Saccharomyces cerevisiae S288C: one gene and its partner. Changing the gene in region 2 together with the main gene of any one other region gives a genetic interaction. Each region holds a gene or a part of one and is shown on either strand. Other genes may lie near its edges.

Region 1 (5,947 bases), on a different chromosome or scaffold from region 2:
TTGAAAGCTTAATTTTATCATCATAATTTTTCTTCCAAAACTTCAATCTTGGTATTTTTTTTCGCATTGGTCTTCATTTTTTTTCTTTTGTTTTTAGCTTTAATGTTGAAAGCGTGAATATCAAAACACTTTTATAATAAATCACCACTTTGTAACTATAGAGAACAATTCATGCTTTATTTATAGATGCCACGATTAAGCATCAATCATTAGTTGAGAGGATCCTTAACGTTAAAATCCACCGCACTTTTCCTTTCAAAAAGCTGCATTGTTTCCATAATTCATTTCATGGCAGGTTAATGACTTATTTGATATGAAGAGTGAGGTTCTTATCAAATGAAATTCCTACATATGAATTTTTTAAAAGAGAGTTTTTCGTTTTACGATATTTATTTACTTCATCATCGTTTATCATTTTTCACGTAGCAAATTTTGAAGCTTCAACTTATAACTCATTTGCATCCGATTCACATATTTCAGCTGACTATAAATTTGGCAACAGCTTCGTGACTTGAGCATAAGAAAAACATAGACTTGTTGGATATAAAATATGGCTCACAGGGCTTTCATACAGGTTATAATCACAGGAACTCAAGTTTTTGGAAAAGCATTCGCCGAGGCGTATAGACAAGCGGCTTCACAATCAGTGAAACAAGGTGCTACAAATGCATCTAGAAGGGGAACAGGAAAAGGCGAATATGGTGGTATTACGTTGGATGAGAGTTGTAAAATTTTAAATATTGAAGAATCCAAGGGCGATTTAAACATGGACAAGATTAATAACAGGTTTAACTATCTATTTGAGGTTAACGATAAAGAAAAAGGTGGAAGCTTCTACTTACAGAGCAAAGTTTATCGAGCAGCAGAAAGGTTAAAATGGGAACTGGCTCAGAGAGAAAAAAATGCGAAGGCGAAAGCAGGGGACGCTTCAACAGCGAAACCTCCTCCGAATTCAACAAATTCATCTGGTGCAGATAATAGTGCAAGCAGCAATCAGTAGTCAAGGAAGCCTCCATCATTACGTCACAAGTGTTATCGAAAGCATGCAGCAGTGCATATATTTTCCTAGTTGGTTGCTTCCTGTACGTTAGGAATCTTCAACCACCATCCTTGTATTTAGTTAATATTAGTATATGTACCAAAGTAAATATACTCAGATGCCATCTCGATATACGCACCGTACACGAAAATGAAATTAAAAAAAAAATGTTGGAGCACAAGCAAGGCAGCATCAGAACGTACCGTCAGTTGGTACCAAGACAAGTCCATCCCCGTAGGCACTACAAATTATGGGAATGAGAAAGTATACAAAATATAAACTGTCTTATCATGAAGAAGAGTCGCTTAGGAATTTAAACTTTCAAATCGCATTACGCAATTCTCTAAAAACGCGAACCTTTCCCTGATATGTAATCAGGGAATTTCCTCAGAATAATATTCGATCTAAGAAACCGGAAACGAAATGAAAATTGTTACTACTTTGTTTAGGAGTAGTCAAAGTTCATTCAGCTATGGGTTATGATGAAATGATTTAAATTATTCTCGCTCCAGTATTAACTTATTACGTAATATGAGCTTAAAAGAGCAAGCTCCTCATCACTCACACTCCATAACATGAAGAACGAAAATAACCTAATCTTTAGGTTTCTATGGTATAATGAAATTAATATTATCTAAAGATAGTATTAACCACTACTGATGTTAGCCTTTTGAAAAAAAATCAAAAGAAAAATTTGAATTTTAAAGAAGAAGTAACAAAGGGAAGAAGTTTTTGCCAATCGGACAACACTAGCTCTATTTATACTTTTCTGTTGCTCCAAAAACAGGAAAGAACAAATTTTTCAATTTAGTGTGACCCGGCTAATAATAAAGAGGGAAGTAATAGGTAGGGTTTTACTGGCAAGAAATCCATATTGTTGCTCCCGAATAATATTATAAATTCTTGTAATTAATACAAAGTTTCTAGATCCACCTTGTTTAAAAATATAAAGTTATGCTTAAAATTCTTCAGGGAAGAAGGTTTTCAATGGATGATTTTACATTTTTGACGAATTCCTGAGAAACTAAATTACAATGTAAAACTGTACATAAATATAAATATTATTGTTGATACGGAAAGTAAAATAAAAAAAAGAAACGCTAAAGAATACTGAATTGCCAACCTAAGTAAAAAATAAGCGATAAAATCAAAGAAACGGACAGAATGCATATAAAAACTGTAATCAGTAATAAGCCCAAAAAATAGTGATCAGTCCATTTCAAAAATTGGTAAAAATTGTCCCATTACGAGAATTGGGATATTAAACGAGTCCCTTTTTACTGTCCAACAACAGGCACACTTCAAATAAAGACCGTTACTTAATAATAAATTGCACTTAGTAAAGATTGCTTTTCCATCCGTAGTAAAAGAAAACCCTTCTGTAATTTTTGACGAGGTAGAAGAACATGCGTTCAACATCAATAGTTTTTTCCTTTTATTGATATCATTGTAACCAAATGCCAGCAATTCGTTAAATATTTGAAAGTAATTCGAAACGCTTTTATGATCCAGATATTCAAAAATAAAGGAGGTGCGGTCTAATAGTAAATTTTTGTTAAAACCTGTTAAAGAATAGAATTCGTTACTGACAAAACAAATCTCGCCTGATCTTCTCCAGATGCACATCGGTGTGCAGCTTACTAATTTTGCCATGTTCTCCAAATCTAATAAAGCCCTTTGCAAGGTAACTTCCTGTAATAGCAAATCCTCTTCAATCATATTGGATGTTAACGAAATGAAAATTGGAGCATATCTTTCTAGTATAGAGCGTATTATAACTTCTAAATCATATCTCAAATTATGCTTTTGGGTACTGTGTTCGTCTTTTACTGAGGCAGATTTATCAATTTCAGCTCCTTCAAGAAATTTTTTTCTTAAAGTAGTTAGCAGTTTGGTGTATGCGAGCTTGTAATTATGCGGTTTTATTAAACATTTATTGTCATATAGGTCTTGAGGAGTCTTTACTAATTCACGAAACTTTGAAGGTGATATGAAATCGGTATCATGTTTCTCCAGATCTGCATCGGAGTGACTAGAACTGTCACATTCGCTTTCCAGTTTGGCGTTATGTGATGGGTGTGTATTAGCGTTTGCTCCACGATTCAAATGCAGCATGTCTAAAGATATAAAGGGCCTAGACACTACTTCATCATATGTATTGAAAGTAGAAGTGGAATGGCCGATCGAGGAGTCCTTTTGGTCATTCACGCTTTTTGTCGAGTTTAAAAGGTTCGTTAAATGCAATGACGAATTTCCCCGTGTAGATGCGCTAGGATTGGGATATTCTGATTCTTGGAGGGAAAATATCTGGGAGTTATTCGGTAAAAACGGCGTTGAAATATCTACTATATCCTTTAATTTCATGTATTCGTCATTGCACCACATACTATCAAAGTGAATATTAGTTTCGTCATCGACATCATCGTCACTCTTATTACTATCGTCCATTCCAGAGTGCACAGGAACGTTTGAAGTAGCAACCAAACAATTGGTAGCCAGCGGCTGCTGCATTGCTTTATGTTGCTCTAGGAAATGCGACTTTAAATTGAGAGTACTCTTCCGTACGGTGGGTATGATGGGGTCATTCATTAAATGTACTGCTTGTGAAGCTGATATATTATTAGAAGTATTTTCTAAGACGGTCTGGCGGTTATTCGTATTGAAGTTCGTAATACGTGGAATAGATCCAGCGCTTTGAAAGTTATCATTTATATTATACGTATATTGGATATTCGTATTGTGGGCAGGTGTTTTGCCTGGTTTTTCCTGATCTGAAGATAGAAAATCTCGCTGCAGATGTACGCTTGAGGGGGATACCGTCTTCGACGGCACATCATGTATTACCAGCCTCTTCCCCAAATTCAAGTATGGTTGTGTTCCATGCTTCTCAATTCGTTTTCTTGATTTCCTTTTCTTATCTCTGCAAAACTTCCCAATATTTCTTTTTAAACAGTTTTGACATGGCCTCCCTACGTCACACTGTATATGTTTGGTATGACAGAATTCACAAGCTGTCTGGATAGACTTTCTCGTCTGTTTCAACTCTGAAGGTAGTTTTTTGGTCATATGTATATATATTCTTGTATGCTGTATCCAAATATATTATTTCTTTACTCCCTTTATTGCTAAGCTGTAATACGTTAAATCATTCGAAATATGATCTATTCATGCAAAAACTTGATGTGTGTAACAAAGAAAATATCCGGTTCAGAGATCCGAACAAATGATAGTCGTACCCTTCCCCTTAGTGTTAACTCGTTTAAGCAGGCTATGATGATTAGTAAATCGTTTCAGCCTCTTCTCATTTCGACAATTTTTGAGGCCTTCCCTTAGTGAGAGGGGAGATAACCAATCAGCACAGAGAACGACGACGGCGCGGAGGCTGGGCGGTTAAAAGAAGATAATGTGAAATAGATCAACAAGCTTTCTGGTGGCAAAACGGCAGTCAGAGATATACAAAAGGGGCAAGATAAGTGAGGGAGGCTATGTGGAAATGGAATGTGCGCAGATGGGCGGGCGCAAGAGTAAACATTAGCAAGAACCGATTAAGTGTAATTAACGTTGGAAGTAGATACTTATCGACCGCAAGAAGTCCACTGTCTAAGGTTAGAAATATAGGAATTATAGCCCATATCGATGCAGGTAAAACTACCACAACAGAGAGGATGCTTTATTATGCAGGAATCTCAAAGCATATTGGAGACGTCGACACTGGCGATACGATAACTGATTTTTTAGAGCAGGAGAGATCCCGAGGTATCACAATTCAAAGCGCTGCGATTTCATTCCCATGGCGAAATACTTTTGCAATAAATCTTATTGATACGCCGGGACATATAGATTTTACTTTTGAAGTGATTAGGGCTTTGAAAGTTATTGATTCATGCGTGGTCATTTTGGACGCTGTTGCCGGCGTAGAGGCACAGACAGAGAAGGTTTGGAAGCAAAGTAAATCGAAGCCCAAAATCTGCTTTATCAACAAAATGGATCGTATGGGGGCGAGTTTCAACCATACAGTCAATGACTTGATAAATAAATTTATGAGAGGAACAACTACCAAACCGGTGTTGGTAAACATTCCTTACTATCGAAAACAACCGACTAGCAATGATTATGTTTTCCAAGGTGTTATTGACGTCGTAAATGGGAAGCGATTAACCTGGAATCCAGAAAATCCTGATGAAATTATCGTGGATGAGTTGGATGGTACTTCTCTTGAGCAGTGTAATCGTTGTAGGGAATCGATGATAGAGACTTTGACTGAATACGACGAAGATTTAGTCCAGCACTTCTTAGAGGAGGCAGAAGGCGATTACTCCAAGGTTTCCGCACAGTTTTTGAACGCTTCAATAAGAAAACTGACTATGAAGAATATGATTGTACCTGTCTTATGCGGTGCGTCTTTTAAAAATATTGGCGTGCAGCCTCTATTAGATGCTATAGTTAATTATCTCCCTTCGCCCATTGAAGCCGAACTACCAGAACTAAATGATAAAACCGTTCCAATGAAATATGACCCCAAAGTTGGATGTTTAGTAAACAACAACAAAAATCTTTGCATTGCTCTTGCATTCAAAGTGATTACGGATCCAATCAGGGGTAAACAAATATTCATTAGAATTTATTCAGGTACACTAAACAGTGGCAATACCGTTTATAATTCTACTACTGGGGAAAAATTTAAATTGGGTAAATTACTGATACCCCATGCGGGAACATCACAACCTGTAAATATTTTAACTGCGGGCCAAATCGGATTGCTTACTGGCTCTACAGTCGAAAACAACATATCTACTGGAGATACACTAATAACGCATTCGTCGAAGAAGGATGGGTTGAAATCACTTGATAAAAAAAAGGAGTTGACGTTAAAAATCAATTCTATCTTCATTCCCCCACCAGTTTTTG
Region 2 (6,339 bases):
TGTCGCAGTAGTTGCCGTCGTGATCCTGTTTGCGATCAACGTTTGCAAAGTTTCTACAGTTCTTTCGTTGATGAAAAATGTAGATAATGTTGGTGACAAGATTTTGATGTCGATAGGGTTCTGTAAGCCTGTTCTTCTTACGAAGTGATGGGCCAATGGTATGTCTATGTCACTGTTGTCTCTAAACAAATCTTGTATTGTTTGCGGCGGAAGTGAGTATTTGCTATTGATCAATTGAAAATGGTTTGCTAGTTCTTGTAGAAACCTTAAGGAGCTCGTCGGAAACTGTTCACATAGGGATGTTAGCGATTTTTCGGCCTTAATTAAGTCATCGTAGTGGTTTGAAGGTATTAGGCTGTCGGGTAGCTCTAACAGCCATAATTTTATCAGTCCGACGAGATCATTAGTGACATAGCTGTGCGAGTTTTCAAAAAAATGAGCAGTGATTATAGAGTTTGTATTTTCGGTAGTTTTCGATCCTTTGAATTCCCCCAATAAGTCTCTTTTCAAATTAGAAACCCTTACAAAATCAATATCCCTGTGCCAACTTTGTATGACTTTATTAGCATTTGGTTCCTTTTCAATCTGCCGCAGTATAATCTTTATTGCCCCTAACGTATCAAGAGCAGCCAGTTCATTATTTATTTCACTACCACAGAAAAACTTTTCGCTTTTTATGGAGATTTCTTTGCAAGCGTCGACTGGATCACTCGCTTCTAGGATATTCCACCTGCGAAAGGGTATGCCATTATCCCTGAGGAAAAACCCTCTTACATCCGCATTGGCAGTTTCCTGTGGCAGTTGTGCTTCTTGTAGAGAACACACAGGTGAGTCAGTAAATTTTTCACATTTTTGTTGAAACATCATGTTTGATGATTCTAGAGCTCGTTTGATTCCGTCCTCCATTTTAGAGTAATTTTTACAATAATCATAAATGGTTTTTTCCAACTGCACTTTAGAATATTCCAACTGGCAACACTTGGAGAAAAAAATATCTTGTGATGATTCAAGTTGCTGTTTTAAACTCTTCCACTCATTTTTATTCATATCTGTACTTCCCGCTGCATCGCAATCATCATTATCATGTTGACTAACTTTGCGGATCCAATCGGATATAGATGTTTTGATAGATGAAACGTTGGACTTTTCTTCGTGTTCATTGTCGGAGTGTGTTAACTCACCATACGATTTTTTTTTTCTGTTTCCAGCATTACCATTACTCTCTTGCGTAGCAAGGACTTCACTGTTCCAGTAATAGTATTTTTCCTGGTCAAACTGAGAAACTTTGCTAGAGTAAAAACTCAGGGAATATTCTTGTATTATACCCAGTTGGATGAATTCGTTACCTATCCTATCGATATTAAATAAGGACAGGTTTAGTCTGGGTTCAAGTTTTTTCAATTCTTTGATCAATGACCTGCCTTGGAAACTTTGATTTGACAATCCTGGAACGGAAAAGACACTTTTCTCCAGGATGACTTTTCCCTTCAAGGTTTGCAAAAATGACATAAATTGGTCGCAATCCTCAAATTTTAACCTCTCGTCTAAAGTGTAAGGAAACTCGCATACGAAGTTCAACCTGGTTAACGGTGCACTATCCTTTCCATTATCAAAAACAGAGGAAGAATTTTCCACTGGCGTATTGGCTTTTTTCAATTTATATATAGACTGAACTCTTTTCTCACATCCAATTAGTGCCTCTTTAGCTGCGACTAAATCCTTAATGTAAGCTGAATAACGAGATGACAAATCGTTTTCTGCCTCACGAAGGAAGCTCTCATTAAGATCTCTTAGTTCTTGCAATGGAATTTTACAATCTCTTTCAACTTGCTCTGTTGATATTATATTAAACTGTTTGCTCATCACTTCCAGCAGCCTGCTATTCATTGAATTGGTTGCTTCCATTTTTTGTAAATTGTTCAATGTTGGTTTCCAAAATTTGTTGACAAAATCATTGTAAAATTTGATGTCTTTAATCAGCAAATCATTTTCTCTCTTCATATGTTTTATGAATAATTTGATACCTGTTGTATAGTCTTTGGTCCAATATGTGTTCCTTAGTGAAATTTTAACTGAGTCGCAATCAATGGAGAGTTGCCTCGAATTCTGTAATTCATCACCAATAATATCTTCTTCGTTATGCTCTTTAACAGACATAACTAGAGACCGAAAGAAAATGCTCTCTTTCTCTTGCCTTTGTCTATGTAATGACAATACTTAATCTACTGGGCCTGACTGGTTTTTTGTTTACTAGTTGCTCTAAAAAATGCAAACGTCAATAAAAAAGAAAAATATGGAAAAGAAAATATACTTTCCCGTATTAACTTGGGTAAAATATAGTAGTATTGTATTGGTGATTTTTCTTTCCTGTGCAAAATAGTTGGCAGAGCATTACACATATTTCTTATTTAGAATATTCAAATAAAGAAAAACTAACTACATGTTAAAAAAAAAGGCAATCCTAAACAGCCAATCTATCAAAGTCAGGTTCTATCTCATAACCGAATACACGGGCTAGAGAGTAGATGTACTTCCTTACCGAGTTGATGACTACACGAGCTAACCCAACAGCCCTTTTACGAAATTTTGGCTGGTTGTTCGTTGTGATGTCATCATTTTTCTTAGCCATATGTTGCTCACTAGTCGTTGGTAGCACATAATCACCAGCTGACAGAGAAACAAATAAGGCAAATGGTATGAACCAAACGCATATACCAAAAAATGAGGCTACTTCAGCGAAACTAGCACGTCTGCGTGGTATATAATTTGGATCAAATTTGAACTGTGGGGGAACTTCCGTATCATTAAAATATTTGAACCAGAAGTAGTGATTCAAGACCACACATACGCAGCTTAATAGGAAAGTTGGGCTGGTTAACGAAATAAATGGGAAACTTTTTAAGTTTTGGTAATATACTATGTAACATGCAATGGAAAAAAGTGTAAGTTTGAACGGGAAACCGTCTAGTAACAGTAGCAGAATTAATATTAATATTATACCATAAATAGCCCTTGTGAGAAACCGTCTTGTGGGTTCTGTGTGTTCTTCAACAAGTTCACTAATGTAGTATAAACCCGATGCAATTGAAAGTGTTAAAAAAAGAAACCCTGAAACGGTTCCTGCATAAGAAATCAATTCTAACAGCATGGTTTTATTCTAACAATTTCTTTTCTCCCTTTTGCTCTTTTTCTCACTTGTCAACTATATGTTTTTAGTTTTAATTTTCACATTGACCATTCAACCTTTAAAAAATCATAAAGTTATAAATGATAGAGAAATAAGAACAAAGGGAAAAAAAATAATACCGGTATAATGCCACCTGCCAGAATTGAACTAGCGACCTTTGCATTACAAGTGCAACGCTCTACCACTAAGCTAAGGAGGCTAAAAATACAACTATGTTGTATCTCAAAATAAGATACGTCAGTATGACAATACGTCATCCCAAACGTTCATAAAACACACATAACAAACGAATAGAATGAGTAACATAACTGTTGGAATGCGAGAATGAGATATTTGTGAATTTTGAGATAATTTGTGGGAATCCATTGTTCACAAAGACAATAATATTAGGTATATAGAATATGCTAGAAGTTCTCCTAGAGGATATAGGAATCCTCAAAATGGAATCGATATTTCTACATGATAATATTAGGATTATTCCTCATTCCGTTTTATATGTTTCATTATCCCATTACATTATCAATCCTTGCACTTCAGCGTCCATTAAGTTCGATGACTGTGTCCCAATCCTATGTCATCTTCTTACACCGCATGTAATAATATAATAGTAATATGACTACTATAAATAGATGACATTTTAGAGTTTCATGTCTTCATAAATGTTTGGCAGGAAGTTTGAAAAGATGGAACGTGCTGCTGCTGATGTAAGGGTCTGAATAAAACCGGATGTCTTGGCAATCCTAATGTCGCTAGGATAGTTGCTTGTCTTTCCAACAAAAGATATAATTCACAAATATTTCTCTGTGCTCCGCATATATTTGGCTTGATGTTTTAAATAGTTTGTGAGTAGTAATTCAATACAAATACTATCAAGCTTTAAGATTCATTATTTCACCAAAATAATCAGTTTTTGTTTTATATGAGGTTGAGTGTCTCAGCTAACTTATGATAAGCTATCTTTAACATGACAAACGGGATGTGATATTTGTTGTCTTGGCTCCAGATCAGCAGTTGTACTAATCTTGCTTACACTGAGCGTGTTCTATGCATTATCTTTAACACTCTTGTACGTCTTGTTTACCATACTTTGCCATATCCTTGTTCTTAAGAAAGGAATTTTGATCTAACATCTCTGAAATCGTGGCACCGTCTAGTAAAATATTAGACACTACTAACGTTACTAAGGAATAAGGTACAACAATTAAAGTCGCTAGTTCGTGAGATTAAAATCTGTTACATATTCTTAGATTGAGAGTTAACGCTGCATATTTCTCTTTGGTGATGAATTAGTCATAAATTGCATTTGCGTCACTCATTATTGTGCTTCTGTGTGAGAGTATTTTAGGAATTTATATATATATATATATATATATATATATATATATAGTATACTGGCTCCCGAGCCAGATGAGGGGGTATGAGGTTTCGACGCTTAAGGTATTATCTGAATCACAGTCGCATACACTAGTTGACCCTCAGTACAGAGATTCCCACGATTAACGGGCTGAACGGGTCCTGACTAATGTAGTTTTGAGTTCACCTGTTGGTGCAGTATTGTTATCGGCACTGGCACTGGTACTGGCACGGGTGTTTGGAAAAACTCTGTAGCATTCAATGGAGAGATTACTACATGAGTGGCGATCCAACGCGAGACATAATCTGTATTAGCTTCATAACCATACTCTGTCAGTAAGGAGCCATAGTCGACATCTGTAACATTCCTAGTAGTGCCAACTGTACCCGGCATGATATTATCTCTGACATCCCCAAAATACACAGCTGTACCATTTATTAAGTGGTAGATTGAGGGAGAGTCTATTCCACCAAGATAGAATCCGTTTCTTTCGAGAAAAATGACTTCATTAAAATTAAGTCCTGCTGGAATGTTAGTGAAGAATCTCAAAGGATTAGTAAGATCAACATCAGGGAGGGAACTATTGTTGATCGAGGTAGCAGCTAGGTTGAAGAATGTAGCAATAAATGCAACGAGGGTTATCCAGTGCATTTCCATTGGGCACGTTAAATAAGTTGAATATATAATAGTAATTTTAGAGGTTTGATGCAAGTTTGGTAGGAGATTTTATGCCTATAATATATATATTCGACCTCAATGTTCAGATAGTAGTTTTACTGCTTGAATATAGTGTGCGCCTGTACGTTTCGATTGGTTGAATTAAACATGTTCTATATTATAGCAAATTTGAAACTCCGCTGCATGTTTGATGAACGAATTGTGCCCGTTATATATATATATATTAAATCTTACTATTTAATTCCTGGGGTCTTATTTTTTACCTGCATTTAACATTTGAGCAACCATCGGGTCGCATATTCACTTTATGACCGAGGCGACCTCAATGCAACCGCAGGCGAAGATGTACGGTCAGAACCTTTCAGAATGTTATTAGGGCATTTTGTGTGGACAGTGACAAACCAGCTTCTCTAGGTACCCAATAGCGTTTTTACTGGGTATCCTGTTCTTTTTCGGGTAGTCCTTATTCTAGATCTTATTCCAAAAGCTTTCAAGACAAATCAATAAAAGAGCCTATTTGAATGTGCAATACCTTCACACCAGTTTTAGCGTGCCAAAAATCCTTCGTTCATTGAGAACTGAAGCCAGTTTAATTGCAATGGCCCTAATATAAATCTAAGGCCAACAAATACTTGGTCACAGAATGCAAGATATGTAACGATTTTTATAACAGTTTAACAGGAGAGGATAAGGACGAACATAAACGGTAGCACAGCCGTTAAGGGGATATCCTTTCAATTTCTACCCAGCACAAACTTTACGTGTTCTCAATCCACGTCTGCAGTAGAAACTGTCGCACATATAGTAACATAAATTTATATCGTAGTATATTGGAAGAAAGTGGGCGTGGGTGCGAGCGTATACTTTGGAATTTTGACATCGCATTTAATATTGTACCTAAACTCATTTCTACCACCATATGGTCACACTCTCAGATTCATATCAACTTCCTACATTATGCTACTAATCAATATAAAACGCAGGGATATAAACTCTGCACACTTCAATCTGTTGTGATAAAAATAAACTACCATATAGTGACTAGTAGTCATGTTACTACTATATTATTACACGCGGTGTAAGAAGATGACATAGGATTGGGACACAGTCGTCGAAATTA

Evidence for each region.
Region 1: mutations in SVP26 (region 2) and GSM1 together harm fitness more than expected from each alone (negative genetic interaction), as found in Saccharomyces cerevisiae (2 studies listed by BioGRID).

The regions. Positions count from the first base shown.
Region 1 is NC_001142.9:226,777-232,723, forward strand, and holds GSM1 (Gsm1p), read right to left. Parts: upstream 4,106-5,947; coding exon 2,249-4,105; downstream 1-2,248. Other genes in the region: import motor complex subunit PAM16, read left to right, coding at 551-1,000; mitochondrial elongation factor MEF2, read left to right, coding at 4,525-5,947. UniProt on the Saccharomyces cerevisiae protein: Transcription factor which regulates nonfermentable carbon utilization. Binds specifically to 5'-CGGN(8)CGG-3' and 5'-CGGN(9)CGG-3' sequences in the promoter region.
Region 2 is NC_001140.6:464,037-470,375, reverse strand, and holds SVP26 (Svp26p), read right to left. Parts: upstream 3,149-6,339; coding exon 2,462-3,148; downstream 1-2,461. Other genes in the region: RGD3 (Rgd3p), read right to left, coding at 1-2,157; YHR180W (uncharacterized protein), read right to left, coding at 4,707-5,198. UniProt on the Saccharomyces cerevisiae protein: Plays a role in retention of a subset of membrane proteins in the early Golgi compartments. Facilitates endoplasmic reticulum to Golgi transport of mannosyltransferases MNN2 and MNN5.